Linked DNA regions of Canis lupus familiaris. The protein of the gene in region 4 purifies or fractionates together with the protein of the main gene of each other region. This does not show direct contact. Links are inferred from orthologs where the notes say so. Each region holds a gene or a part of one and is shown on either strand. Other genes may lie near its edges.

Region 1 (4,050 bases), on a different chromosome or scaffold from region 4:
AATGCAAATCTGACCTCCTGGTTTTCTGTGAAAGGCTCCCTGCTCCTTTGAAGACGATGTCCCAGTCTCCTTAAAAATCTAGTCCCAGGTTCCTTACCTCTCCAGCCTCATTTTTTTTTTTTTTTTAAATCTCTTTCATTTTATACTTCTGCCACGCTTTTTCTTAACTTGGCCACATTCCCCTGCCTAGAAATCCATCACCCAACGCCGGATTCAGTGTCACTCCTCTCTGCTCTCATGGCGCCCTATGCTTCACCTAGTGGATGTCCTCTACCGCCAGCTTTACCTCGGGGAGGACAGGACGTGCTTACATCACGGTTGTATCCGACGCATTCAGCCCCGTGTTCTAACGCCCAACTAATTTTGAGGCCATAAAGCCTGGTTTCATTGAAGAGTTGAATGAGGATCTTTGAATTACACCTATAGGTGCTCTGGCCTTCTGTCTCTGTTACTACGGTGTAAGGGTTCGTTCTAGGGCACGGAGAAACCATTTAGGTATTAAACCGTCGACACTTAAAACGATTTCGGATCTAGCGCAGACTTCTCTGTAACAGGCGGCGTTTCAAGCCGGTACCTCCTAAGGTCCGCCCGCCTTCTCCTTAAAGCAGACAAGGTCCCGAGTAACCGCTCACGACGCCTCGGACCGGCCTAAGAGGGGCGCACGCGGGTTTAGACGTGGGATTTCTTTGCACTAGACTCCGCCCACGGGCCCCAAACGGCGGAAGAACCGCGCGCCCCGCCGTGACACCTCACTCTGCGGCGGAGGCATCCCGACGCTTCGCCGCCGGCGTAGGCGGGGCGGCCGGCTCTTCCTTCCTCACGGCTACTTGGGCTCCTCCCCCCGCGCTTCACACGCTCATTGTGAAGCGACAGCGGCAGCCAACCTCTAGGGCTGTCTGAGACCTAGAGACCCGAACCCCTTGGCGCGCGTGAGCGCCCGCGCCGCTCCTTCCGCACCCCAGGGGCCGGGGGCGCGCGCGAGACTCGCCTTTTTATTCCCCGCTCCGGCCCGGAGCCAACCGCCCCGGCGCGCGCGGACCTCTCGCGCCGCCGCTCCCTCCTCCCCGCCCCTCCCCCGTCGGGAGCTCCCGCCCGCGCGCTCCTCCTCCTCCCCTTTCCCCGGCGACGCGCACGCGCGCCAGGCCGGCTCGCGCCCTCTCGCTTTCCTCCGGCCCGCGAGACCCCCCTCCCCTTCCGCCTCGCGGCGCTTCCTCGCGCCGCGGTCTTCTCTATCCACCCCCGACATCGCGGGGCTCCCCCCGCGCCCGCCAACGGCGGGTCCCCGGCTTCCCGAGCCCCCTTGCTTCCCGCGCTCTCCGGCGGGGGCCTAGCCCCGGCCTCCTCTCTCCCTCCCTTCCCCCTAATTCCCCTTCCGGACGCTGCCATCATGTTGAAGCCTCAGCCGCCACAACAGACCTCCCAGCCCCAGCAGCCGCCCCCCACGCAACAGGCCGTGGCCCGCCGGCCTCCCGGGGGTACCAGCCCTCCCAACGGCGGCCTCCCGGGGCCCTTGGCCTCCGCCTCGGCTCCCCCAGGGCCTCCCGCGGCCGCTTCTCCCTGCCTGGGGCCTGCAGCCGCCGCCGGGAGCGGGCTCCGCCGGGGAGCCGAGGGCATCTTGGCGCCGCAGCCGCCGCCGCCGCAGCAGCAACATCAGGAGAGGCCAGGGGCAGCGGCTATCGGCAGCGCCAGGTGAGGAGGGGTGGGCTTCCGGGCGCTGGTGCCGAGGCTGCGGGGCGGCGGCGGCGGCGGCGGCGGCTCCGGCCCAGCGGCCGGGACCCGAGGACCCTGCGCGAGGCGGGCACCCAGTCCGGCCACCTTGGCGGGGCGCCGGGGGGGAGTGGGGAACTCCCGCGAGGCTAGGGGCGGGCCCCCTCCGGTCCTAACAGGTCGGAGGGAAAGGGTCCCCGCGCGGCCACCGGGACATTTGGGGGCCGTGCTCAGCTCTCAGAGCCTCGTTGGGCCTCGGGGCTCGGGCCCTAAGGGCAGGCGGGGCGCATCCCCCCAGCGCCGTCAGAACGAGGCTTTGGGGGGGCGAAGAGGTGATCGGGGTCCCCGGCTCCATTACCACGAAGGGTCTCGCGGTCCCCGGCTTCAGCCAATAGGGAGTCAGCTGCGGGAAGGGGTCCCCGGCCGTAGCCAATGGAGGGGGGCGCGCGGCCCACAGTTTGGCCAATGGGGAGGGAGGGACTTGGGAGCAGGTTGCTACCTCCCCGTTCCCGGTCTGGCCAGTAGGAGGGGAGCGGGGTGGGCGGGGGGACGGAAGGAGGGACGCCTGGGAGGACTGCGGGCTGGGAACCTCCAGCGCGCGCGCGCTCTCCCCGTACGTGCGCGCGGATGCTCTGTCTCATGACCCGGGCGTTCGTGAGCCGAGGGTAACCTATAGGGCAGGGTTCGGAAGTGTGCGTGGACGGGTTCGCCTGGTGTTTGTGGATGAGTCGTGGACACCGCACTCGGTTTCTTCTGTGTGTGGGTTAATGGAATTGAGAGTGGCGGTACACGCAGGCGCAGTGGGTTCTGGTCGCGGGAGGGGGGATTTTGGAGGCCCGTGGGCTTTACTGCGCAGGCGCGAACCGGGCGAGGCCTCCCCGTGGATGGCTTTTGCGGCTGCGCTGTCCCCCAGCCCCGCCAACGGCCCCCTCATCGCCCTCCTCAACCGCCGGTTACATCAGCCAGCGAGGAGCAGGGTAACCAGGCGATCGGTGACCCCTCCTGGAGTGGGTGGTATTGAGTAAAAGAGGTCGAGAAGGGTGGGTTGTAAAGGGAGTACCCTCCTCCCAGACTTTGGGGCGTAGGGCTGGTGAAAATGATTGTCTTTTCTGTTTGAGAGGTAACGTACCTGAGCTAGGTGGTTCTGAATCTGCATTCCCTGAGCTTTCACCTCTATGTCTAGGGTGGATTGTTGGTTAACGACTACTGTAGCATTGCTTTCTTGGAAGCATGAGGCCCTGGTCTCTTGGAGAAAGTGAGAAGGTTGTGAATTGACAACCGTTGTTGATCAAGGTCTTATTTTTAGTGGCATTTGGTGGAACGTGTTTCCTGACTTTTACTGTCTATGCCTTTCTTCCTCTGAGAGGTGAGAACTTGAAAATCTTGTTGATTAATTGGTTGGTAGTCTAAATTATTTTCTCAGGGTATGTGGTTCTAGGAAACCGAGTTCTTTGAAATTAATTCTATAAGACGGATTGAATGTGGTTAAGTAACTAGTTTCTCGTTTCCTTTCTCACAGGGGACAAAGCACAGGAAAGGGACCCCCACCATCACCGGTGAGTGCCACCCCTCACCCCCAAAGTACAGAGGAACGTGTGGGGATATAGGACAGATCATGTGCACAAATAGTTGGGCTCAGAAGAGCTGGGGCCCAGCACATACAAAGTGGGTGTGAGTGGAGTGTGGGTATTCAGAAGGAAGGTGAAGTGCTGACTAGCTCTTTTATGTTATTGATAGGTGTTCGAGGGTGTCTACAACAATTCCAGAATGCTGCATTTTCTTACAGCTGTTGTGGTAAGTTGGTAGCTAAACCCTAGGTTGTTTGAGACGAGTAAAGCACCAGTTTGCTGGAGACACTTTTTTTTTTCTCCACTCTTCCAGGGCTCCACTTGTGATGTAAAGGTGAAGAATGGTACCATATATGAAGGTATCTTCAAGACTCTGAGCTCAAAGGTTAGTGTACTCAAAATAGTTTATTTTTGGAATTTCATGGGAGGAGGAGGATGAAATAAGCTTACTGGAGATGTGAGTTGAATAGCATTGGACAGCATTGTGTTACTCATTTCTGTAGCTCTGTGCCAGAGTGGTGCTGGAAGCAATAAGAAATGTGGGTTGGAAGTTTGAGGACTGGGTACTTTAATGTTAAAATACTTAGTCCTGGGCTGATGTTGAGAAGGCTGTTTGTGAGAGATAGTGTGGTGTTGGGACAAGGTTGGAAAGAGTAAAAGAAAAGTAGTCATATTTTTACCATCACATTTCCTGATATTGACCCTTTACTATTCGGGAATGGGACTTTTATAGTTTGAACTAGCAGTAGACGCTGTACACCGGAAAGCATCTGAG
Region 2 (4,092 bases), on a different chromosome or scaffold from region 4:
TGCGGACTCAGGCTCTGATTCACACGTGAGGAATTCGCCGCTGCCATCCCTAGGCCAAGCTGCATTTTCAGACACGCGGAGAGAGGAGTTGCGAAACGCACAGGAATGAGTTCTTCGTGGTTGCAGTTTAGTCCTTACGGGGAAAAGTGAGAGTTAGTTCCGTGAGCTCAGCGGGCCCGACGAGGCCTGCGCGGCGCCCGCACGGGTGTGGGGGGGGCGACCCACCGGGACCCCTGGGGGCAGGGCGCGGAGGCTGAGCCCCGGAGCAGCGCCTTCCCGGGCTCCGGCCGCTGGGCGTGGGGGGGGCGGGGTCCCCCGGGGCGCAGGCGGGGGGCGACCCTCCAGGCCCCCTGGGAGCAGGGCGTGGAGGCTGAGCCCCGGAGCAGCGCCTTCCCCGGCTCGGGCCACTCGGGGGGGAGGGCGGGGTCCCCCGGGGCGCAGGCTGAGGACGACCCTCCAGGCCCCCTGGGAGCAGGGCGCGGAGGCTGAGCCCCGGAGCAGCGCCTTCCCGGGATCGGGCCGCTGGGCGTGGGGGGGGCGGGGTCCCCCGGGGCGCAGGCGGGGGGCGGCGCTCCGTGGCCCCGCCGACCTCTGCCGGCTCCCCCGCGCCACTTGCCCGGAGCACCTGGCGCCTAAAAATATCGCCCGGGTCGGACCTCCCGGAACCAGCCCCCGCTTTGGAGGAGCGCGGCGCCGTCATCCCCTCGACACACATAAATCACGGCTCCGACCTGCTGTGGACTCAGCGGGTGACGCGCGGCTCGAGCGGCGACGAATCCAGCCCCCGACGAAGGCCCGGCCGGGCCCGCCGAGGCCGCCCGCCGGAGACACGGCCCAGCCACCTCCGCGTCCGCCAGCCCGCTCAGCCCGGGGCCCTCCGGAGCCAGAGCCTGTGGCAATCACGAGTTTCTCTCCGCCCCGTCGGTGACGGAAAACTCGTGACTCGGCCCTGAGCGCGGGGCGGGCGCTGACAAGCCGGCGGGGGGGCGGGGGGCGGGGCTGCGAGTCGGGCTCGCGAGGAAGCCCCCGACGGGCGGCGCGTGCGCAGTCTCTCTCCACGGGACCTCCTTCCCGCCGCTGAGACTAGGAAGCGGGACGCCAAATCTGTCCCCGCGCAGCCGCCGCGCCGGGCGCCGAGCGCCGAGCGGGGGCCGCCCTCCCCGAGGCGCGCCTGTGCACGTTCCCACGCACGCTCCGGCGTACGGCGGCGGCCCGGGGTCGCGAGCCGGCGGAGGACCCGCGCGCGCGGAGGAGCCCGGGGCGGCAGCGCTTCTTCCCTCCCTCCCCCACTCCCCTCCCCGCTCCCTCCCCCCCTCCCCAAGAATGTTCCGCTACGAGGTGAGCTCTTGCGACCGGAAGTGACCCCTCCCTCCCTCCCGCGCCCCCTCTGCTCTCTCACCCCCGCGCCCCGGGGGGGAGGGGAGGGGAGGGCGGGGGCGGCTGGCGGCGGGACGCGGGACCGAGTGGAGCGCGTAGGGCCTGGGGTCGCGCGCGGCTCTAGTCCGAGGGCGCGGAGCCGGCTCCAGGGGGCGGGACTGCCCCTATCAGTTGCGGCTGGGGAGAGTTGGCCTCCGTTTTGGGGTGGGGAGGGCCCGTTAAGTGCGGTGACCTGAGCAGCCCCCGCCCCCACCCCCACCCCCACCCCCACCCCCGGCGGGAGCCGCGGGGGGGCAGAGCGCTGCACCCACCGGCTGGCGCTCCTTCGGGAAGAGTCTCCCGGGAAAGCCTAGATACACGTTTCCCGCCCTGGACCCGGAACCCCCTCCCCTCCGGTTACACACACACCCGGAGGCTCGGGCACGGGCGGGTCGTGGGGCGGGGGGAGGGGGGCCCCGGACTCGCCCTTTCCTGGGGCCCGAGACTGTTTACCAAACCGGGCTCCGAACTGGGAGGGGGCGTGTCCCGCAGAAGTTGTTCTGGGGCGAGTGGAGGGAGACGTGGGCTCGCTGACCATCCCGGGAATGCAGCAGCAACAGTCGGGAGTCCTGTGACCCTGCCGCTAACTCACCCTTTGACCTTGAGCTGCTCCTAGTCTCTGGACAGAAAGTTTCTGGATTTTGTAGACGGAAGGCTGCTCCAGGTGATCGCTGAGAAGCTTCACAATTTAAAAAAGCAGTGATTTGGTTAAGTAGGTCTTTTGTGATTTGGAAGGGAGTGCAGTGCGGCTGGAAGCTGCCTCTGCTGCGGAGGCAGTCGCATGCCTGCTTTGGGGAACTTTGGGAGGGCTTAACCCGGGTTAGGATGGCCTCTTGGCCTAACCTTGCCTTTGGGAACAGCCTGCTTCAGGACGTAGCCCGGCACGGTATATCACAGGCTTGCCTATTGATATGTGGCCTGAGTCTTTGAAAATTGGGGACACGTGTACTTGATACTTGATAGGAATGGTTCAAGACCGAACCGACTTGATGTAAACATGGAGAGAGATGATGAGGTGCAGTAGGCAGAGTTGCCAACACAAAAGAGAACTTGGAGAAATAAGAAATCAGTGGAAAACTAAAGTGGAGAGGGGAAATGCTTAAAGCAGAAGGAACCTAAATTGTTCTGATACTACCATCGTTCAGCAGTCCACAATTTTTGCCAAATCTTTGCCTCATTTAATCCTCACACAACTCTCTAAGGTATTGTCCCTTTGTTACCACTCAGAGCCTAACGCAGAGCTGGAGACACAGTAGGTACTCGAGAGGTGTTTAACGAGTTAACCAGAATACGATTTGGCCAAGTTTGCGCCATTCTCTTGTGAGAATGAAGCCAGAACTTGAATTCACCATATCATGGCTTTCCCAGAGTTCACTTAATTGAGGTTGAAAATTTAGCTTTCTGTTTCATCCTCAGAGTTTGGGCCTACAGAAAACAGAAGGGTGGAAAATGAAGAGAAGGCTGTAAAAGGACATAATAAAGTAACTGATATTTTGACATGAGTATGAGTAACATGATGCTTCTGTTGAAAAACATACATAAAACTCAATAATGATAAAGTGTTCGTTTTCAGTTGTCATTACTTCTAACCAGTGATGTCAAAAAAGTTAGGAGCCTAATTTCTTGGTTGCTTGAAGAAACACTAGATTCTTGATAGAGAAATGGAGTGTTTGGGAAAAGAGAAACTGAAAGAAGATACTGCCATCTTCCAATGTCAGGGAAATTGGGGCAGAAAAAAAAATGCTGTCTTTACAAGAGGTCATAAGCTATTTTGATGATTGGAGGGACAAAATGAGCATTTTTTTAAATGAAGGTGTGAACTTCATGAATACCTAATAAGCTCTCTTCTTTCTTTTTTAGTCCTTAGAGGATTGTCCCCTGGATGAAGATGAAGATGCATTTCAGGGCTTAGGAGAAGAAGATGAAGAGATTGATCAATTCAATGATGATACATTTGGGTCAGGTGCTGTTGGTAAGACATCTTTCTCCTGTAATGTCATCTTGATCTCTTGCTCTTCAAATATTCTCTTGTATAAGTGATTTGTCTTAGAGTAACTGCATTCAAAAACTTGGCAAAATATTCTATTCTTAGAAGTCTCAAATAGTTTAGTCTTCACTGGAAGCATCTACTTCACTCCCCTGGGCCCCTGTTTTGCCTTATTTATGTATAAAACCAGGTGTTCTCTGAGTCCAGTGCCTTCCAGCTGTTTTATCTGTGGTTCTAGGTTGATGCTGTAAGGCATGCAAATAGTTAGACAAGTAGACGTTTTATGAAGATTTGAAATAATCCTGGAAGAAGGAAGTTTTTATTTGTGGAATATATAACTTGGAAAACTAGTAGACTAAAAGAAAACTTGGACTTGGGTATATATGTTTTAAAATTCAGTTAATCAGTGATGTATTGTGTGACCCCACTATTGGCTTACATAGTATCTTCAATAAACTAAAAAGCATTTCATTCTAAGAATTGTGGTGATAGGAAGTCTTCATAAGTTAGAAAAGGGCTGGGCACAGATGAAATTTTCCTATTCCTGGATATAGATAAATATTTTAGGAGTTAGAAAAAGGTAAAAAATTAAAGAGCCAGAGTAAACATGGCTCAGAGTTATAATTACTAAAATGAGAAACTTAGGGAACAAGCTTACATGATAAAATTTAAGAAATAAAGATCCTGGA
Region 3 (3,500 bases), on a different chromosome or scaffold from region 4:
CAGTGCTGAGGTCTGGTCCTTTCTGGCTCAGAAATGGCAAGCCCCAGTGGATGCGCCCCTTGCTGTCTTTACCAGTGGGAGCAGCTTCCATCCTTAAACAGCCGCATGCGGTGGCATGTGGGGTGGGGGGGCCCTAGCTGGTCCGTCTGCTCCCCGGCCCGGGACTGGGAAGGAGCACCTTGACTTCTCTTCCCCTCCTGCCTGCCTGTGTGGTGATGGAGGAGGCAGAGTAGATGAGAGCGTGTTCTGACCCAGGAAAGCCCTCCTATAGCAACACGAGGCCCTGGCGTTCCTCGGGGCTGCCCCTGAGGTTGTGTGGACTTCTGGGCCTCTCTGCTCTCCTGGCCTCTATCCACCCCTCCCTCCACCGTCCATCCATCCGTCCCTCCTCTCCTGTCCAGCTCTTCGTCTGTCCATCCGTCCGTTATCTCCAGCCCACTTGCACTGCTGGGCAGGCCGGAGATGGGAGGCTGCACAGAGGCTCAGTTCTCAGCCTCAGGAGCACCATGTGGTCGGAGGACCAGCAGCCATAGGGAAAGTAACAGCATCGGCGGTGGGGACATGTTTCCCATTTTCCCTCACCCTAAGTTTCTTGCCATTTGCAGAATAAAGCGATTGCCACCCCTGTCCAGGGCGTGTGGGACATGAGGAACAAGCAGTTTCACACAGGCATTGAGATCAAGGTGTGGGCCATTGCGTGCTTCGCCCCCCAGCGTCAGTGTACAGAAGTCCACCTGAAGTAAGGCCACCGGGGTCAGGCGCGCCTGGCTTTGGGCGGGATGGGGGGCAGGGGGGAGGGACAGCCGGCAGGGGGGTGCGAGGCCGGCAGGGACGTGGACTTAGTGCCGTTGCCGAGCTTGGTGGCCTTTCCCTGGCAGGGAGCACTGGCCCAGGACACGTGGGCCGCCTCAAGGCTGCTTCTACTTCTCAGACTCATTGGTGGAGGGAGTGTGGAAAAGTGATGGAGATTATATAAGAGATAAAACAGTAAACAAGTAAATTTGAAAATTTTATGCAAAAGAAAAAGTTATATTCAGTGAACTCAACTTACTTTGAAGAAAACACGTTGGCCTCGTGCTTCTGCATCACCCTGGTGTGGCCCAGGCAGCAGACCCCTTTGAAAGTAGCACCAAAAATATGCAGTTTCGTCGGTCGTTTTTTTTTTTTTTTTAACATATTTTTATTTAAATTCAGTTCGTCAACATATGCAGTATAACATCCAGGGCTCATCCCATCAAGATAATTTCATGTCTTTATTTGAGAGAGAATGAGTGAGAGCACAAGCAGGGGAGCAGCAGGAGAGGCAGAGGCAGGCTCCCCCCTGAGCAGGGAGCCCGATGTGGGACTCCATCCCAGGATCCTAGGATCATGACCTGAGCCGAGGGCAGACGCCTATCTGAGCCACCCAGGTGCCCTTGTCGTTTGTGTTTTTGTGTCCAAAACACCAACAGTGGAAAGGAAGCTACTACTTCCCATCTGTCTTACGGGGAAGCAGGAGGGAACTCAGAGCCTGAGAGGCAGAGCTGGTTAACATGCTGGTGAAGGCCGCCTCTGAGAAGCTGGGGCTCAAAGTCACCGAGAGCAGACGTCAAGGGGTGAAAGGCTGTCGGGGCTACTTGTCCCCGCTGCCGGCAGCGTGAGCTGGCCGCACAGAGCAGCTTAGGAAGCCAAGGCGGCTGCAGCTGAACCCCAGGTACCTCTTCCCCGTGTTGTGGCCTCAGCCCTGCGGTGAATTCACACATAGGTGTAAATGCGGATGCACACGCATGCACACGTCTCTAAGCACATCGACGTATAGGAGGATGAACACTCACGCCACTGGATCGAGTGTCCTTATCCTTAACTGTCGAAGGCGACGTTATTTTTACTTCTGGGCTTAAAATAGAAGCTGTTGCCCTGTGTGTGCCCCCCGCCCGGGGTGGGGGTGGCCTCTCCAGGCCTGCCGGGGCAGCTGCTGGTGTTACCCTGGCTGTGGCCGATCCTGCTCTCTCCCACGGCTGTGTCGCCCAAGTCCAAGCGGTTCAAGAATAATGGGGGCGAGTCCAAGGGGACTGTGGGTTGGTGGCTTCCCTCTCTCTGACAGTGTTTGGCGCTGACGAGGTCCTGCGTCTTGCCCCAGGACCCAGGTGCTGGTCGGGCCTGCCGAGTGGGTGGCAGCCGCACCAGCCCCTACAGCTGGGAGTGGCTTTTTAGGAACCCGCATGTACGTGTAGCATATACCTCTGCCTTGAGTTAACACATAGAAATGGCTCTGTCCAGGTCTGACCCTTGGATTCGGACACCAGTGGAAGTGGCTTGGGTTGGGCTGTTAAAGCTGTGCCCTTCCCCTGGGGTCCCTGGTTGGGGTGGATTCTTGGGCGCCCGCCATGCGTTCAAGCCTGATGAGCTTTCTCCTTCAGATCCTTCACGGAGCAGCTCAGAAAGATCTCGAGGGACGCTGGGATGCCCATCCAGGGCCAGCCGTGCTTCTGTAAATATGCCCAGGGGGCGGATAGCGTGGAGCCCATGTTCAGGCACCTGAAGAATACGTATGCTGGCCTTCAGCTGGTGGTGGTCATCCTGCCTGGCAAAACCCCCGTTTACGGTAGGCCTTCACTCTCGGGGTCCCCGGGTGTTTGGTGCAGCCCGGCTCCTTGGTGTTTTTGCCACACTGAGGGATGCCTGTGCTTGCCCCATTCATGAGCTAAGAAGGACGAGGGACGTTCTGACAACTGCCAGGCAAGTGCCGAGGGCCGCCCGCATCAGCGCTGAGACCACTTCCTGGAGGCCAGCATGTGCGTGGTTATTTTATTCCACCCCACTCGATGTTGGCCGGGTGGAGGAATGCCCCTTCGGTGCACATGCAGTGATCACCGGGGGCCGCTGTCCAGGTGTGGCCATCTCTGTGCCCCCTTGGAGCTCTCTGGAAGGTGATCAGAGTCTTCACGCCAGCAGGGCAGTTGTGCATCCATTCAGCTGAAACTTAGCCAGCCCCTGTGATGAGAGTTCAAAGAGCAGCCCCCCATCCAAGGGACCCCAGGGCGGTGGGGGTGGCGGACAGGTGACTCCAGGACAGGTGAGGGGGGAGGGGTTGCTGTTGGACAGCTGTGGGAAGTCTGCGGGACCCAAAGGTGCCCAGCAGAGGTGGCGTCAGGATGAGAACCTCTGGCATGTGGGGGCCGTGACGCTCAGGTGGTGTCACCAACTGGACCCTCAGATCGAATTAGATACATAAAAGCCGTGCATCTCTCCTCCAAGCTACGTATCCAAGAACGCAGATGACACCATCGGTGTTTCCATCCACAAGTCACCCGTTCCCACAGCACTGCCCAGGGAGCTGACCATGGCTCCGTGCAAGAATCCAGAAACTGAGGGGTGTGGGCCTCGATAGCTCTTTCACGTCGGCTTTGCATGTGCTGTGAATTTCGAGGATGCCAGCGTCTCTATTTTTAACAACCCAAGCTTTTGCTCGTAACCCTGAGCACTGCGATAGAAGGCAGCGTTCTAGGCGGGAGCGCCAG
Region 4 (3,500 bases):
AAAGGGAAAGTTTTTTTTTTCTAACTTTCCTATGTTTGCTAATTAAACTTTCTCTTTGTTTCAGATTGAAGTGAGTGAATTCAAATATATAATTCAACCTTGTTAGAGGGCTTTTTAAAAAATAAAAAGTTGATTCGGTGCATGAGAGCAAGTTACTGCTGCATACCGTTCAGAGACTTACAGGTGCTTGCCTGCATTGCAATAAAGGACTCATATATTGAGCAAGACTTATATTTATCTCTTCGTTTTGGAGAGCCTAATAAACTGTTATTACAGTTTCTCTACTGACTTTCAAAAGTTTTGAAGTTTGAAAGAGACATCTTTACAATTAATACAGCATGAGCACGGCCAGAACAGAGAACCCTGTTATAATGGGTCTTTCCAGTCAAAATGGTCAGCTGAGGGGCCCTGTGAAGCCCAGTGGTGGCCCCGGAGGAGGGGGCACACAGACACAGCAACAGATGAACCAGCTGAAAAATACCAACACAATCAATAATGGCACTCAGCAGCAAGCACAGAGTATGACCACCACTATTAAGTAAGTGTTCGAATAAATAATAAACAGGCTTGTTAGACCAAGATTTCTTTCTGCTACTTTGTTGTTGACTACTTTAGACCTTGTTTTAACCATTTTGTTTGCAAAGAAAGTACAGAGGACTGTTTTATGGGTGGGTATTTGCAATTGAATAATGTATTTTTTGTCATAGTTCAGAGTCATTAGGTAACAGACATGATATATATTTTGTATACATTACTTTTTGAAACATTTCTGGCTTTCATCAGCTCAGATTCATCTTGTTTTTGCCAATATGGCTTTTTCCCTAGTGTTACAACTGTATTTTACCTTAGTATAAATGGTAGTTAAAGCCAATTTCAGTTTTTAAATTTAAAGACTGGCCCAGACTCCTGAATCCAGACATATACCTCACTGATAGATATTTATCCATAACTTTTTTTTTTTTTAAGATTATGGGACTTTAGTTTTCTACTTTAAAAAAAAAAAAAAGGCTTTCTCCTTTTACACACAGAATTACAAGCAGTTATATATCATAAGGTTTTCAAGATTTTGAACTCTTGAAATATACAAGACTGAATACTCCCAAGTCCCTTTGTTGACTAAAAATTTAAGAGTTTCATCTTATTACAGAACATTTTTTTCATTTAAATTTGCTATTTGTCGGGATCCTTGGGTGGCGCAGCGGTTTAACGCCTGCCTTTGGCCCAGGGCGCGATCCTGGAGACCCGGGATCGAATCCCACGTCGGGCTCCCGGTGCATGGAGCCTGCTTCTCCCTCTGCCTATGTCTCTGCCTCTCTCTCTCTCTCTCTCTCTCTCTCTCTCTGTATGACTATCATAAATAAATAAAAATTCAAAAAAAAATAAATTTGCTATTTGTCATCTAAGTGTTGACTTTAAATTATTTGAATGATAACTGTCACTCTAAAGATTCAGTTAATGAATAATCAACATAGAAGACTCTTGATTCAATTTCACATTTGGCTTTGTTGTTGAGTCTAGCCATAGAGATTGATTTACTCTTGAAATCTTTGTATGTTGAAACATACAAATGTTGAAACTGGTTCCCTGAATTAAAGTATATGTTATATTACAACCTAGATCTTTTCTATGCCTAAAGAGTACTTCCTAAAGAAAAACTAGCATTTAAAAGCTACTAGACTATCATACAGATGGTTACTTTTTTTTTAAGATGGTTACTTTTATTGATATCCTAGTGACCTCTAAGAGTTAATTCCCAGTGGAATTGGTTTGATCATTGGGAGAATTGGCATGAGTGCATTTTTTTTTGCATATTTTAAGCTTTAATTAGTATATAAAGCAAGAATATTCTCTAAATTGTAGTTTGTCTTGACAAAGTATGATTTGGCCAGCAAAATTTAGGCTATTGTTAAACCTAAAGCTGTGTTATTTCATTATTTTATGCTTAAATTCTGATTTCAGACAATAGATTTTGCTTTTTCTTTTTTGCTCTGCCTGGGATTAATGATTTCTTTTTAATTCTGTGGGTTCTTTAAATCTCATACTGTCATCTCTTCCACGAAGGCTTCTAGGTCCCATCACTGTCTTCAGAACTCCTGTAATATTTATCTCTATCACTTATTTCACTTTCTCATTTTAAATAGTTTGGGTCTTTTATCTCCTAAGATTATAAATTCCTTGTGGTAAGATTTTCCATTGTATTTCTGCAGCTGTATTCACTTTATATTGAATATGACCATGGCAAGCTGGCCTACTAGGATGTTCAACTGACATTTTTGCTCAGAAACTGCTGGTGTGTTTTATAAAGGCGTAGGTGAAGGACTTTGGTACCCTTGGAATTGGTAGCAAATAGTTATCTCTGTTAGAGTATCTACCCAAAACTATGTGGGACCAGGACGCCAGGGTGGCTCAGTGGTTGAGTGTCTGCCTTTGGTTCAGGGCGTGATCCTGGAGTTCCGGGATTGAGTCCCACATCAGGCTCCCTGCATGGAGCCAGCTTCTCCTCTCCCTCTGCCTATGTCTCTGCCCTCCCCCCCCCCCCTCTCTCTTTGTGTCTCTCAGTGAATAAATAAAGAAAAATCTTAAAAAAAAAATTCTGTGGAACCTAGCTTTAAATGAAGTAAGTGCTCATCTTCCTAAATCAAGACTTGAGATGTTTTGGAGTCTCTGATTATATAAGAGTTGCTATAATGAAATCAGTAAGAAAAAAAATTTTATTTTAAAGATTTTTATTTCTTTTTTTATTTTTTTATTTTTTTTAATTTTTTTTTTTTAAGATTTTTATTTCTTTATAAGAGAGAGGCAGAGACATAGGCAGAGGGAGAAGCAGGCTCCTCACAGGGAGCCCAACGTGGGACTCGATCCCAGAATCCTGGGATCACGCCCTGAGCCAAAGACAGACGCCCAACTGCTAAGCCACCCAGGCTGCCGAAAATCAGTGAAAATTTTTATTTAAAAATGACACAATTGAAAGCATTATCTGCTTTATTGGCCAATTTTTTCTTATTAGATGCTTTGAGTATTATTTGAGGTTTTTACCTGACCGAAAAGAGTTCTACTCTATTTTCTTGGTTTCTCTTTCACGGTTTCAAGCATTCTCAGTAAAAAAAAGTTGAGAGATAGTGAATAACAGATGATCCTGAGTTCTTTTTTTTTTTTTTTTTTTAAGGATTTTATTTATTATAACAAGGGTGGAGGGGGGACAGACTTCCCACTGAGCATAGAGCCCTGATGTAGGGCTTCAATCCAGGACCCTGAGATCACGATCTGAGCCAAAGTCAGACACTTAACCAACTGAGCCACTCAGGTGCCCCCTAAGTACTTACTTTGCCAGGAACTATACTGAGTGCTTTATGTAAATTATTTGTTATAATTCTGAGCCCCCTTTATAATTCAGAGAATTGGAGGCTTAGAAAAGGAACTGCTGAAAAGTCACAAAAATAATTAGTCAGGGCTTAACTTTGGTTCTGAAACTTTAGACCCCTTGGTTTTAACCAGTCACC
Region 5 (3,502 bases), on a different chromosome or scaffold from region 4:
GCTTAAATGTGGAAGAGAAAAAAACAAGAGCTGCAAGAGAGCGAGAAACCAGAGGTGGTGGTGATGATCGCAGGGATATTAGGCGCAATGATCGAGGTCCTGGTGGTCCACGTGGCATAGTAGGTGGTGGAATGATGCGTGACCGGGATGGAAGAGGACCTCCTCCGAGAGGTGGCATGGCACAGAAACTTGGCTCTGGTAGAGGAACCGGGCAAATGGAAGGCCGCTTCACAGGACAGCGTCGTTGAAGCTCCACTGTTTACAGAGTCTTGGCAGTGGTACATTATTCATCGTGTTTGCATTCTTGTTAATTTTTTTTTTTTTTTTTTTGGCTTTGGAATGTGACACAGCCTTTTTGATCATTTCTTTGATGTGAAAAGCATCTTTTGGTTATGAGTTAAATTGAGGTGGACATTATTTCCCCAATTTCACAACAGGATTCACATTGTTAATTTATAAATCTAGACTTGGAGAATTAAGGACTGAGAAATGACCATATCTTAAACTGTCTACAACAAAATGAACTTAAAAGGACATGCCCAACTGAAATCAGGTCCTTTGAGTCAAAAAAAAAAAAAAATCCTCTGCTGCACATTTTGTTTAAGTGTTATTGTTTCTACCTGTTAATGTTGGAAACACAAATAGTGCAATTTGTGCAATTGGAGAATCTTGCATTTTTTCTTGGCTCTCTCCCAAAATACAACCCAACAGAAACTTGTTATGCACTCATCAAAATGCACTAATGGGTACTCCTGAACTCATTAACATTGACATCTGCAACAGGAGGCAACAGGGGGAAAAAATCTTTCATCTTTTTTTCCAGTAGAGAATAGTTTGTGAAATGATGAGGGCATTTTATCTGCTTGCAGTGACCAGCGTGTGTACACATAAACCTTAACAAGACTACAAGTATATTCCAGAAGGGAATCATTTAGTCATGAACTCTAAATAACAGAAATCAGAACTTCAAATGCTATGGTCTTGAGTATTAGACCAGATTTAGTAGCTCCATATCTAAGATTTTTCTACCTGCCCCTCTTCAGTACAGGGATGGCTGGCTGCTCAACACACTCCTCCCTTTTTCCTTTCTTTAAGCTATGTACAGTGAAAATTGTCTTTACTGTATTTTTGTTCTCTGGTAATGTAATAAGCATGATGGTGCCTTCTATTAATACATCATTCCAGTCTTGCTGGTAATTTTGTACAGTTTAGTGTATGAATTGCTGTGCTGCAAAGTCAAACAGCTGCAAAATGTTGAAAAATCATTGAAGTGTATAAAAAATTGCAGTATCTTTAAAATCAGTAAAATTGACTAGCATATTATTTACCTTGTTCTTCAGTTAACAGCTTTGTGTTCTCTGTGGGAGGGAGTCTTGTGTGTTTGGGAGGGAGAGGGAAGGAGGAAGTCAGTTATTTGAGTAAGTCTCTTACTGACTTTTAGCATGAATGTGAACGTTGAAGTGTATCACTTGAGAGGTGCTCGGAAAAGCCAATCAACTCGATGTACATTTTTTATGACATTTTGAAAGCAGTCAGATTCCATAAATGGCAAGTAAACGAAGTGAGGATACTGCAATTTTCAGAGAAAAGAACAGCATCTCCTAAGTGTTTGCATTTTCTATTTGGGGGGCAGGGAACTGTCATTCATTTTGCACAATTCTTGAACTGATGTCAGCACCCGAGTGGCTCTGAATTTAAGTCTGGGACGACATCTTTTATTTTTACATGGATCTCTAAATTCTGTGAGCAAAGTTTGTAGCTGCTGGATTATTGTCTGTCTTTATTGCAAGTTCCAGTAAACCGCAAGTATGGCGAAGGATATCCAATTTTATGCTTGGAGCATTCGGGTACATAACAGTTTCTGATGTTTCAGGCTAGGAGTGAGGTAAATTAAGTGTGACCACTTAAAGCTGCTTGTTAGCATGGAAGACTTCTCCATTCTTAGTAAAAACAAATTTAAAAATGCACTTGACATAGTAGCAAACTGGTTCTGAATTATAAAACTGTTTGCTATTTAGTAAACTAGCAAATGATGCACATATTTTGTTTTTCATGTACTGGGCAATATAATGAAATTAAATCTGTCCTTCTTTTCTCCCTTGAATGAGGTCTTCCATGTTTGGGGAAAAGTCTTGCACTATTGCATATATTTTGGGAACACAGATTTCTCATAGTTTCCATTTTGGGGGGCTTAAAGATTTTTTTTTTCCTGTTGGAACACTTTTACACTTTCTAATGTATAGTACTTGAAGTTCTTACCAGAAAATTACTTTTGAGTTTTGAAGCCTTTTTTCAAACTACTTTTAAATAAGTGGTTTATTGTCAGTGTTTTGTTTTGTTTTATAGTATATTTTTCCTCTACTCTTTTCTTTCCTTCCCGTTTTAAATATATATATAATTTCCAATCTAGGATATTGCCCTGCCACCCATGAAAACTGTGTTCTGGCACCAAAAGTAATGAGAAATGTTAAGTGTAATAGAAAATTAAAGAGCCATTCAGCTTCAGTCTCTACATACCATGAATAAAACATTAAAACATCACATGGAGAAGTTTACATGGTGATTGTTCACCTGCAGTACTGTGGACTTTTAACATTTTGTCCCCTTTTCAGTGAACCAGAGTAAAACTATTCATTGACCATTACTGTTATTTGCTTTTTTTTTTTCTTTGTGATGGTAATATTCTATCCTTATGACACTATTGCAACCAAATTGGCTTTACCATCTTGGCTTTAGTAGGTATAGAAGACAATGGATTACCATCTTTATTGCTGTAATGTGTTAAGCATTATATGCTAGTAGAATCTAGTTTAATTGTTTCGGGTGGAAAAGTATTCTTTGAGTTTCCATTTTGAATGTGTTTGGATTTAACAAACAATAAACTACTGATGTCTGCAGCATTTATCTATGTCCCTAATTTAATCTATAGGTTTGTGTTCCAAAGTATTTTTTCCCAATTGCATTTCATACAACCTAAGTAAAAATAAGGAATTGTTCTAAAACCAATGGCTGCTTGTTTGTGAAATTTGATTTCTAAAAAAGTAAAAACAAATATTTAAGTATGACTGAACATGATTAGAGATGTATCCCAGTTCACTTAGGTAACTGGTATACACGTTAAAGAATAGCAGAAGAGAATAAGTATAAAGAAGGTGAGAATGATCAAAATCAGACCACTTATTAAACGTTTAGAGAAAAACCAAAACTTAAGTTTTCTAAAGGATTGGTACCTCTTATCTCAGAAGGACATCTGAAGTTATAGGCATGACTCAATTCAGAAATTGGAACGAATTTGTCAAGCTCTAAAAGAATATTAAATGGAAAATACATACTTGCAAATGTGACTAAGTATTTCAAATGAAAAATTAGGTCCTAATGCATATATGATATTAGAACTTGAGACTTGTTAAAAGGGATGGTTATGAATGATTTTTTCCTGCTGATGTATTTGTAACACTGTTCATGAGGATTCCTTGAATCAGTCTTCACAAGTTTGTATTGG
Region 6 (4,293 bases), on a different chromosome or scaffold from region 4:
AATGTAAATATGGTTCTTGGAAAGAGATTAATTTCACTAATTAAAAAGGTGTGGGGAACGGAAGCTGGATATGTTATTGTACTACCTTGCTAAATGTTTTTCAATTGCCCCAAGGAGAAAGCCTACATTTTCTAGGTCTTTCAAAGTTTGTTCAGGCTCCGGTGAGACAACCCTTACCAGCCTACCCCCACAACTCCATTTCATAATATTTCTGAATTGCTTTATGTTCCTTGAAATCACCAAGCTCTTTCTCCTTATAGAGATCTTGCTTGTCTTTCAGGTCTCAGATTTTTTTCACTTCCTCCGGGAAGCTTTTCCTAACAGTACCGGGCAGTCATATATATGAAAAACTGTAATCACAATGCCATGTAGAAAGTGGAGCGGGAGTTACATGTGACTTGTGGGGGTCAGACTTGAAAGTTCCCTGGAAAAACACAACTAAGAGGGAGCAAGCAGTACTTTTATTCCTACTACAATGATTGTACTAATAAACACCCAACATTAGGAAGTTGATGTTTCTTGCAGGGTAAGGAAACGCTTTTGAACTGTGTTCAGGTTAGGTAGTGCCAAGGCTGGCCCTTTGCCTCCCTCTGGATTAGAGAAAGATCAACCTGTTGTTACTCATAAATGAGGCTCCAGAATTTCTATGGGGGATGAGAGCAGGTGGATTTCGTATATCAGATGGACACTAATGGGGGAGGGCCAAAACTGCCCCAAGGCCACCTTTGTCACTACCACTGCTCCACATTCCTGCCCTTTGCCTGGCTTTCTAGAGAGGACAAGATGGGAGGAGATGTGGAAGCATCTTGAGTTCCAAGGGTGATGAGCGATCATGGAGGAACTGCATTCATTTGTACACATTATCTCACTTAACCTCCTAATACTCTAGGAGGTATTATTTAATGCAGTAAATTGCACCGTCTTTGGAAACAGGTAGACCGAATTCTTTCCGGTTGTGCGACCTCAGCCAAGTTTAGTCTAAGACTTTTGTTTCTTCATCTGTAAACTGAAGATGTTGATTCTCACCTCAATAGATTGTTGGATGCTCAGTAAGTAATAATATAGAAAAAGTAATGATACAGGGTCAGGGTTAGTAATTTGCTCAAGGTTATAGAACTTAGTTAAGTGGCAGACCTGGGACTCCGATCCTAGTTTAGCTAATCCTATAGGCCATGTTCTTCCCACTAGTACTTTGTAACTGGGTATAATCGTTTTGGGCAAGTTTCCTTAAGACCTCTGGGCCTCAGATTACTCTATGTAAAATAGAGTTCATTCATTAAAGTCTTGTGTCAAGGTGTGCACATAATAGAGATTGCAGCTCCCTTCTCCTTCCTCTTTTCATGCCACGTAGGTCATTTATCTTTAACTTCTAAAATGGACTCTGCAAGCACTTTATAAGCGGGCGCAGTTGCACAAACACTTATTCAGATCCCCTTTATTTCCTCTTTTTTCCCTTTCCACCTAGGCTCCCGCCCCACCCAGAGCCAGGCCACGCCCTGGCGTGTGACGTCAGCACGCCTCGTGCGTCGCGTCGCGGCGCTCACTGGGGGCCCGGCTTTCGCCCGCTGCTGCCGCCGCCGCCGCCGGCCGCGGCTGCTCTCCCAAGATGGCGGCTCCTCCGGGCGAGTACTTCAGCGTTGGGAGCCAGGTGTCGTGCCGGACGTGCCAGGAGCAGCGGCTGCAGGGCGAGGTGGTAGCCTTCGACTACCAGTCCAAAATGCTGGCTTTAAGTATCCTTCGCTGCGCGGAGCCCGAGCCCGGGCCGGCGTGTATGTGTGGTGGTGGGGGGGTGGGGGACGACGGCGGCGGCTGGGGCCCTCTCCGGGCCTAGGGGCGACCGGCTACCGCGGCGCCCGGAGCGCATGCGCACGGCCCTGAGCTCCCCTCCCCCTCTTCGCGTGTCCCTCGGTCCGCTTTGGGGACCCTGTCTCCCATCCCTTGTGGGAGCTGGGCCCCGAGCGAGGGTCAGTGGGTGGAGGGGGGCTTGACACGCGGATGCCTTTTCGGGGGAAACGCTGTGAGAGGCGATACAGTGCTCCAGAGAGAGAGAGGGTGGTCGTGGGAGGGGGCTGGTGGATTGGAGCCCGGATGGAAGGGGGGCGGGTAGAATCATGTGGGGAGGGGGTGTGTAGAGTAAAGAGCTGCTAGTAGGGCTGGGGTATGGAGTTTAGGAGGGGGTGTCTGCTGGGAGGATTTGGTTCAAGGAACGGCGGTGGGGTGGTGACCAAATGGGCCTCGCCTGCTTTGGGGGGAGAGTAACTGCAGGACAGTTTGTATCTGAAATGGGGATAGGGGCTTATTTTGCTGGTGTGTGTGTGTGCGTGGTGCTGTTGGGGGCGGGGAGTACTGAATGAGGTTTCTCAGTCATTTGAAAATTGCTGTTTTGAGAATGTTTCCATTGGAAACCTGGTCCCAGAGAGAAGGCCACGGTTTTTAGGGGCTCGTGTAGGGTTGTGTGGGTTACAGGTGAAAGAGTAAGTTACGTTCCCTTGCTCAGCCCAGCACATGGAGTCCTGACTTTTCCATAGTAGTTGCCTCCCCTTTTGGAAGTGGTGGTGATTAACAGAATGGAAAAGAAGGCCTGCTTCTTTGGGGTGGAAATGATTTCTGAATTACTCCAGGAAACTCAGTCTTGGAAACAAAATAGTTCCTGGTTGTAATAAATGTACCACCCCTTCCCCTCTTTTTGAGCCACAGGTGGGTTTATTTTTTTGAGGAGTAATCCTTTATGGCATCTTTCAAAAGGAAGTTTTCTACTGAATGCTGCATTTGAGTGGCAAGTATTTTAATTTATTTAACCACTAGTTGTAGATATTTTTAGCTTAGGAAGATGTCCTCTACAGCAAGAACTGTTGCTTTTTTTGGGTAAAATGTAAAAACTCAGACCTGGACCAAATAAGACCTTTTACATTAGTGGGTTAGTTGGAAGGATTTTGGAATGAGGAATTACTTTATTTTTAATTGGCATATAATATACTCTTGATAAATAGTTGGAGGAGGGGTGAGTGAATGAATGAATGAATAAATACATATATAGATAAATGGGTTAAGTAGCTGGGTTCACCTTGAGTGAGCCTCCTTTCCAGTCCTATAGTTTTCTCCTCTGCGGAATGGGAAATCTGAAATCGAAAAAAGTGAAAAGAGCAGTATATAGATGAAAGTATTATACCAAGAACAGAGAGTAATGCCTCTTCTGTGTGGTTCCTTAGGTCCAAGACAAACTCTATATATGGCATTAACACTGCATTATGCTTCCATACAACCAGTAGAGAGGTGACGGAAACCCTTTCTGAGGCTTCCAATTTTGGATGGTATTTGGCTTTGAAAAGCTTGAGATCTTTTGGTTCTGGGGTTTTGAGCGGGTGGAAGGTGACAGGCAGAGATTTCCTGAGGAGAGCTAGGATTCTTGTAATGCTCCCCCTTCTTGCTCGTGGCACACCTGTTACACCAGCCTCATTTCAGTTGTTTTCCATGCCCCTTTTGGGATGCGTCAGTGCTGTTTGCCTCTATTTTCCTTAACTTTATTTTTTTCACCAGAATGTCCCTCTTCCAGTGGAAAGCCCAACCATGCAGATATCTTGCTCATAAACTTACAGTATGTTTCAGAAGTGGAAATAATTAATGACCGAACAGAAACCCCTCCTCCCCTAGCTTCACTCAATGTTAGTAAGGTAAGGACTTGCGGGCAGTTCTGGCTCCAAAATGGGAAACATTGAGACTCCTTGGCTCTTGGTGATACATACATTGTCTGTTGTTTTTCATTTTTTCCATTAACATAAAATTGTTTGTTCTGATACCTTTTTGAAAAACATACCGGTTTAGGTTTCTCCTTATTTCTGCGTACCTTCAGACTTAAGAAACCTTCTAATGCCCAAATAGAGAAATAAAATTGCAAACTTACTTTTGTCCTTAGTGAAAGAGGGCTGTTTTTTTTTGTTTTGTTTTCTAAAAACCTGGAGTCCGTGCGTGAACTTCTGGTATTAGTGGGGTTGGGTAGGGGTGATGTCTGTGAACCTCCTGAAATTGTGTGTATGTGTGCACACATGAATATATATGGTTTTGGTGAACATATGGAGTATTTTGCAGATCTGTGATTCATGACCTACAAAAATTTGAAAACTACTGCCTTAAAGCTTCATTTTTGTCTTTATGTTTGAATTTTGAGGTCTGACAGAATTAGATGTTTAGAGTAATCTTACATGTTGGTATCTTACATGTTGGTATCTTACATGTTAATCTTACACCCCCAAATCACTTTGGCTCATGAGTTCTATCAGGCAAAATTTCATGTAT
Region 7 (3,500 bases), on a different chromosome or scaffold from region 4:
AATTGTCTCCAAGACCACAGAGGAGGGTTTCTGTGTGTGTGTGTGTGTGTGTGTGTGTGTGTGTGTCCCGTGTTCTTTTATGAGACAGTCAGGTGCAGCGACAAGAGGAGACTGTGGAGGGCATCCCTGGATGGCTCAGGGGTTTAGCACCTGCCTTTGGCCCAGGGCGTGATCCTGGAGTCTCAGGATCGGGTCCCACATCGGGCTCCCTGCATGGGGCCTGCTTCTCCCTCTGTGTCTCTGCCTCTCTCTCTCTGTCTCTCATGAATAAATAAAATCTTAAAAAAAAAAAAAAAGAGGAAACTGTGGAGAGAGGCTCAGGAAACCAAAATATACTCAGAGGTCCTAGAAGCAGGAGGCACAGTTCACCCTGCAGGGCCACCTGTGGAGGCCTCAGGGTGGGCAGGAAACACCAAGCAGGAGCAAGGGGAAAGCCAAGGCAAGAGCCTCTATGGGGGTTGCTGCACTTTAGGATTGGCTAGTTGGATAATTTTCAGTAGGCTTTAAACACTAGGGTGGTCTCTAGTCCCAGGACCTGAGATGACTAGGGCAGAGGACTAGCCTCCTGGGGTGCGGGGGTCAGATAGAGGAGGGACATCGCAGGGTGGTTAGTTTGCAAGTCAAAGGCAGCCTACTAGCCCAGGGGCAGTCAACTGGGTGACTCAGCTCTTGATCTCAGGGTTGTCATTTCAGGCCTTGTGTTTGGCTCCATGCTGGGATGGAGCCTACTTATAAAAAAAAAACAAAAACAGAAACTTGGCTAGCCCAGGGAGGAGGATTCTGGTCCCAACCAGAAGACTTTTAAGATGCCAAAACACCATAAAATAAAAATAATAAAATATGTGTGTGTGTGTATGTGTGTGTGTGTGCGCTGAGGAGGGAGGGAGAAGAAAGAAAATAATTTGTTCAGTATTTGCATTTATTATTTATTGGCCATTGTTATGCTGCCTCACAGAACCTAAGTTCCTGGAGGGTAAAAATGTCATTATTTTTTAAATTTAAAATTTTTAAATTTTATTTATTTTTTTAAAAAAAGACTTTATTTATTCATGAGAGACACACAGAGAGAGAGAGGCAGAGGGAGAAGCAGGCTCCATGCAGGTAGCCTGACGTGGAACTCAATCCCGGGACTCCAGGATCACGCCCTGAGCCTAAGACAGGCACTCAACTGCTGAGCCACCCAGGCATCCCTACATTTTTAATTTTTAAAAAAAGATTTTATTTATTTGACAGAGATAGTGTGAGACAGCATAAGCAGGGCGAGCAGCAGAGGAAGAGGGAGAAGCAGGTTCCTCAACGATCAAGCCAATGTGAGGCTTGATCTTGATCCTAGCACCCTGGGATCATGACTAGAGCTGAAGGCATATCCTTAACTGACTGAACCACCCAGGTGTCCCCAAAATGTCGCAATTTCAGATTAATCTGACATAGTACAATCAGGTAAAATATAATTAATTGATAGTTGCTAAGTCATTAGAATGTTTTTTAACAGCTGCTGAAGAATTAAGCAAAATGGAAAATACAGAAATCATTGTTACTGACCGCATATGAGATTAAAGTGTCTCTGTCCCAGCCCTCTGATCGAAGGACAATGAAACTATGATTAATTCGTATTCATATACATTGAGTCAATCAACAACCATTTATTCAGCACATATGTGCCAGGAACATAGAAGACAACTAGGCTTATGAAGATGAATACAGGGTGTTCTCTGTGCCCAAGGAGCTCACAGTCTACCAATCAAGGGTAAGTCAACCATCAAACCAAAGGCATCCTGGAGAAACTTGGCCAGTTGTCCTTTAGCATGTCCCACTTCATTCAGGAGTTTTCTGATTGCTTCCTTGGTGCCATTTGTTTTCTGCCTGCCTGTCTCCTCTCTTCCCTTTTATTTTCTGTAAATTCGTAAGTTTAAGAAAACTTACAAAGTGGATGACTAGAGTGTATCATGCTAAGTGAATTAAGTCAGAGAAAGACAAATACCTTATGATTTCCACTCATATGTGAAATTTAAGAGAACAGATGAACACTGGGGAAGGGAAGGAAAATCAGGACACACATACTTTTCCATTTGTTCAAGTCTATTTTTATGCCTATCAGGAGTGTTTAAACGTTTTCTTCATAGAGGTTTTGCTCATTTCTTGTTCATTTTATTCCAAAGAATGTTATATTAATAGTTGCTACTGTAAATGGCGTCTTCTAGGAAAATTTCTGACTGGATACTATTTGCATATAGGAAGGCTGCTGATTTCTTAGGCTACCTTTTCATCCACTTAAAACAAATGGTCTTCTTTAGCCTGCTAAAAGCAAATAGAGATTTAATTTTTCATTCAATTTTATTTGGTGGAAGGAATAAGCCTTTCTCAACAAGCATATTACCACCATAGGATTTAAGTATGTTTCACAAGGGAAGACAAAAACTCACCTTGGTGTATTCATCTTTGGCCTTGGTGAGCATTCGTAAGATATCTACTTCCTTGCCCTCTCCTGAATTGAGGATCATTGGGGAGTTTCCTGCTCCAGTTCCCTGATGGGCTTTCAACTGTTCATATTGAGTTAGGCTAGAAAAATAGAGGTGAAAATCCACACAAGAAAAACGAACTTAAGTGGCTTTTAAAACCATCTAAGTCCCACTCACTTGTTTTATCTTGTTATAGTCATAGTGGAAGTAAGACTGCTTAGGAAGTGAAAGAAGAGTTGAGATCCTGAGTATACTGAGTACATGTATGAACCTAGAGGAGGAGTAGGCAAACTATGTCCTAGAGGCCAAATCGGGCCCACTACCTGTTTTTGTAGAGAAAGTTACAAACAGCCACAATTACTGGTTTATGCGTCACTTACACTTACGGCCAGCTCTCACACAAGGCCTGCAGAGTTGAGTAGTTGTGACTCGCAGAGCTGGAAATACTATGTTTTTTTTTTGTTTTTTTTTGTTTTTTTCCAGAAAAAGTCGGCCAACTCCTCATTTAGAGCATTCTTAAAAGGACTCATTAATTGCTGAGGAAACCCAATTCAGAGTTCTCAAACACTGAGCAAACTGCACGGCAAATCGAGATTCCCCTCCCTTCCTTGTTTCAACGTGCCTTGAAGTCAAAGCAAAATTGATTTCAGCAACTCAAATCCTATAGTCCTCTGATAACTTAAAACAGCGAAGATTCCATTCTAGAAGACAGGGCATTAAAAAAAACTTAGAGCAATGAAGAGGTCTTCTGTTTCCCTGAAAACAATACAGGAGGGAGACCAGGTTGCTCCTATATGGTGCTAGGTGACACTGAGAAAAACACCTTTTCCTTTTGTGTGCTTTGACTTTCAGCTCAAATTTTTATAATTGCCATGTCATTTATGGTAAAAGAGACCTGAGAACTTACGGGGAGATTTAATTCTGAAGGGCTCAGAATCCACACATATCAGCTGCTTATTGCTAGTCAACAATCAATTTTCTGCCCCAGCTGTTAAGTAATTACTGCAGAATGCTAACAATTTGAACATGGTCTCTTGGCTG

What was found.
Region 1: the proteins of DDX6 (region 4) and ATXN2L purify together in Homo sapiens (affinity purification with mass spectrometry; 6 studies listed by BioGRID and IntAct, with this or other methods). This does not show direct contact. The link is inferred for Canis lupus familiaris from reciprocal best matches to the Homo sapiens genes DDX6 and ATXN2L.
Region 2: the proteins of DDX6 (region 4) and PATL1 purify together in Homo sapiens (affinity purification with mass spectrometry; 6 studies listed by BioGRID and IntAct, with this or other methods). This does not show direct contact. The link is inferred for Canis lupus familiaris from reciprocal best matches to the Homo sapiens genes DDX6 and PATL1.
Region 3: the proteins of DDX6 (region 4) and AGO2 purify together in Homo sapiens (affinity purification with western blotting; 5 studies listed by BioGRID and IntAct, with this or other methods). This does not show direct contact. The link is inferred for Canis lupus familiaris from reciprocal best matches to the Homo sapiens genes DDX6 and AGO2.
Region 5: the proteins of DDX6 (region 4) and G3BP2 purify together in Homo sapiens (affinity purification with mass spectrometry; 3 studies listed by BioGRID and IntAct, with this or other methods). This does not show direct contact. The link is inferred for Canis lupus familiaris from reciprocal best matches to the Homo sapiens genes DDX6 and G3BP2.
Region 6: the proteins of DDX6 (region 4) and LSM12 purify together in Homo sapiens (affinity purification with mass spectrometry; 5 studies listed by BioGRID and IntAct, with this or other methods). This does not show direct contact. The link is inferred for Canis lupus familiaris from reciprocal best matches to the Homo sapiens genes DDX6 and LSM12.
Region 7: the proteins of DDX6 (region 4) and DCP1B purify together in Homo sapiens (affinity purification with mass spectrometry; 6 studies listed by BioGRID and IntAct, counting the BioPlex papers as one, with this or other methods). This does not show direct contact. The link is inferred for Canis lupus familiaris from reciprocal best matches to the Homo sapiens genes DDX6 and DCP1B.

Annotation. Positions count from the first base shown.
Region 1 is NC_049227.1:18,508,087-18,512,136, forward strand, and holds the start of ATXN2L (ataxin-2-like protein), read left to right. Parts: upstream 1-1,250; 5' UTR 1,251-1,387; coding exon 1,388-1,689; intron 1,690-2,254; exon of another isoform or gene 2,255-2,334; coding exon of another isoform or gene 2,335-2,372; intron 2,373-3,226; coding exon 3,227-3,263; intron 3,264-3,444; coding exon 3,445-3,501; intron 3,502-3,588; coding exon 3,589-3,660; intron 3,661-4,008; coding exon 4,009-4,050. UniProt on the Homo sapiens protein: Involved in the regulation of stress granule and P-body formation.
Region 2 is NC_049239.1:37,542,373-37,546,464, forward strand, and holds the start of PATL1 (protein PAT1 homolog 1), read left to right. Parts: upstream 1-1,292; 5' UTR 1,293-1,323; coding exon 1,324-1,338; intron 1,339-3,276; coding exon 3,277-3,388; intron 3,389-4,092. UniProt on the Homo sapiens protein: RNA-binding protein involved in deadenylation-dependent decapping of mRNAs, leading to the degradation of mRNAs. Acts as a scaffold protein that connects deadenylation and decapping machinery.
Region 3 is NC_049234.1:35,808,913-35,812,412, reverse strand, and holds part of AGO2 (protein argonaute-2), read left to right. Parts: intron 1-605; coding exon 606-739; intron 740-2,399; coding exon 2,400-2,584; intron 2,585-3,500.
Region 4 is NC_049226.1:15,030,713-15,034,212, forward strand, and holds part of DDX6 (probable ATP-dependent RNA helicase DDX6), read left to right. Parts: intron 1-64; 5' UTR 65-338; coding exon 339-538; intron 539-3,500.
Region 5 is NC_049253.1:39,971,407-39,974,908, forward strand, and holds the end of G3BP2 (ras GTPase-activating protein-binding protein 2), read left to right. Parts: coding exon 1-248; 3' UTR 249-3,002; downstream 3,003-3,502.
Region 6 is NC_049230.1:19,181,382-19,185,674, forward strand, and holds the start of LSM12 (protein LSM12 homolog), read left to right. Parts: upstream 1-1,493; 5' UTR 1,494-1,606; coding exon 1,607-1,730; intron 1,731-3,537; coding exon 3,538-3,671; intron 3,672-4,293. UniProt on the Homo sapiens protein: Nicotinic acid adenine dinucleotide phosphate (NAADP) binding protein. Confers NAADP sensitivity to the two pore channel complex (TPCs) by acting as TPC accessory protein necessary for NAADP-evoked Ca(2+) release.
Region 7 is NC_049248.1:2,039,219-2,042,718, reverse strand, and holds part of DCP1B (mRNA-decapping enzyme 1B), read right to left. Parts: intron 2,560-3,500; coding exon 2,424-2,559; intron 1-2,423. UniProt on the Homo sapiens protein: May play a role in the degradation of mRNAs, both in normal mRNA turnover and in nonsense-mediated mRNA decay. May remove the 7-methyl guanine cap structure from mRNA molecules, yielding a 5'-phosphorylated mRNA fragment and 7m-GDP.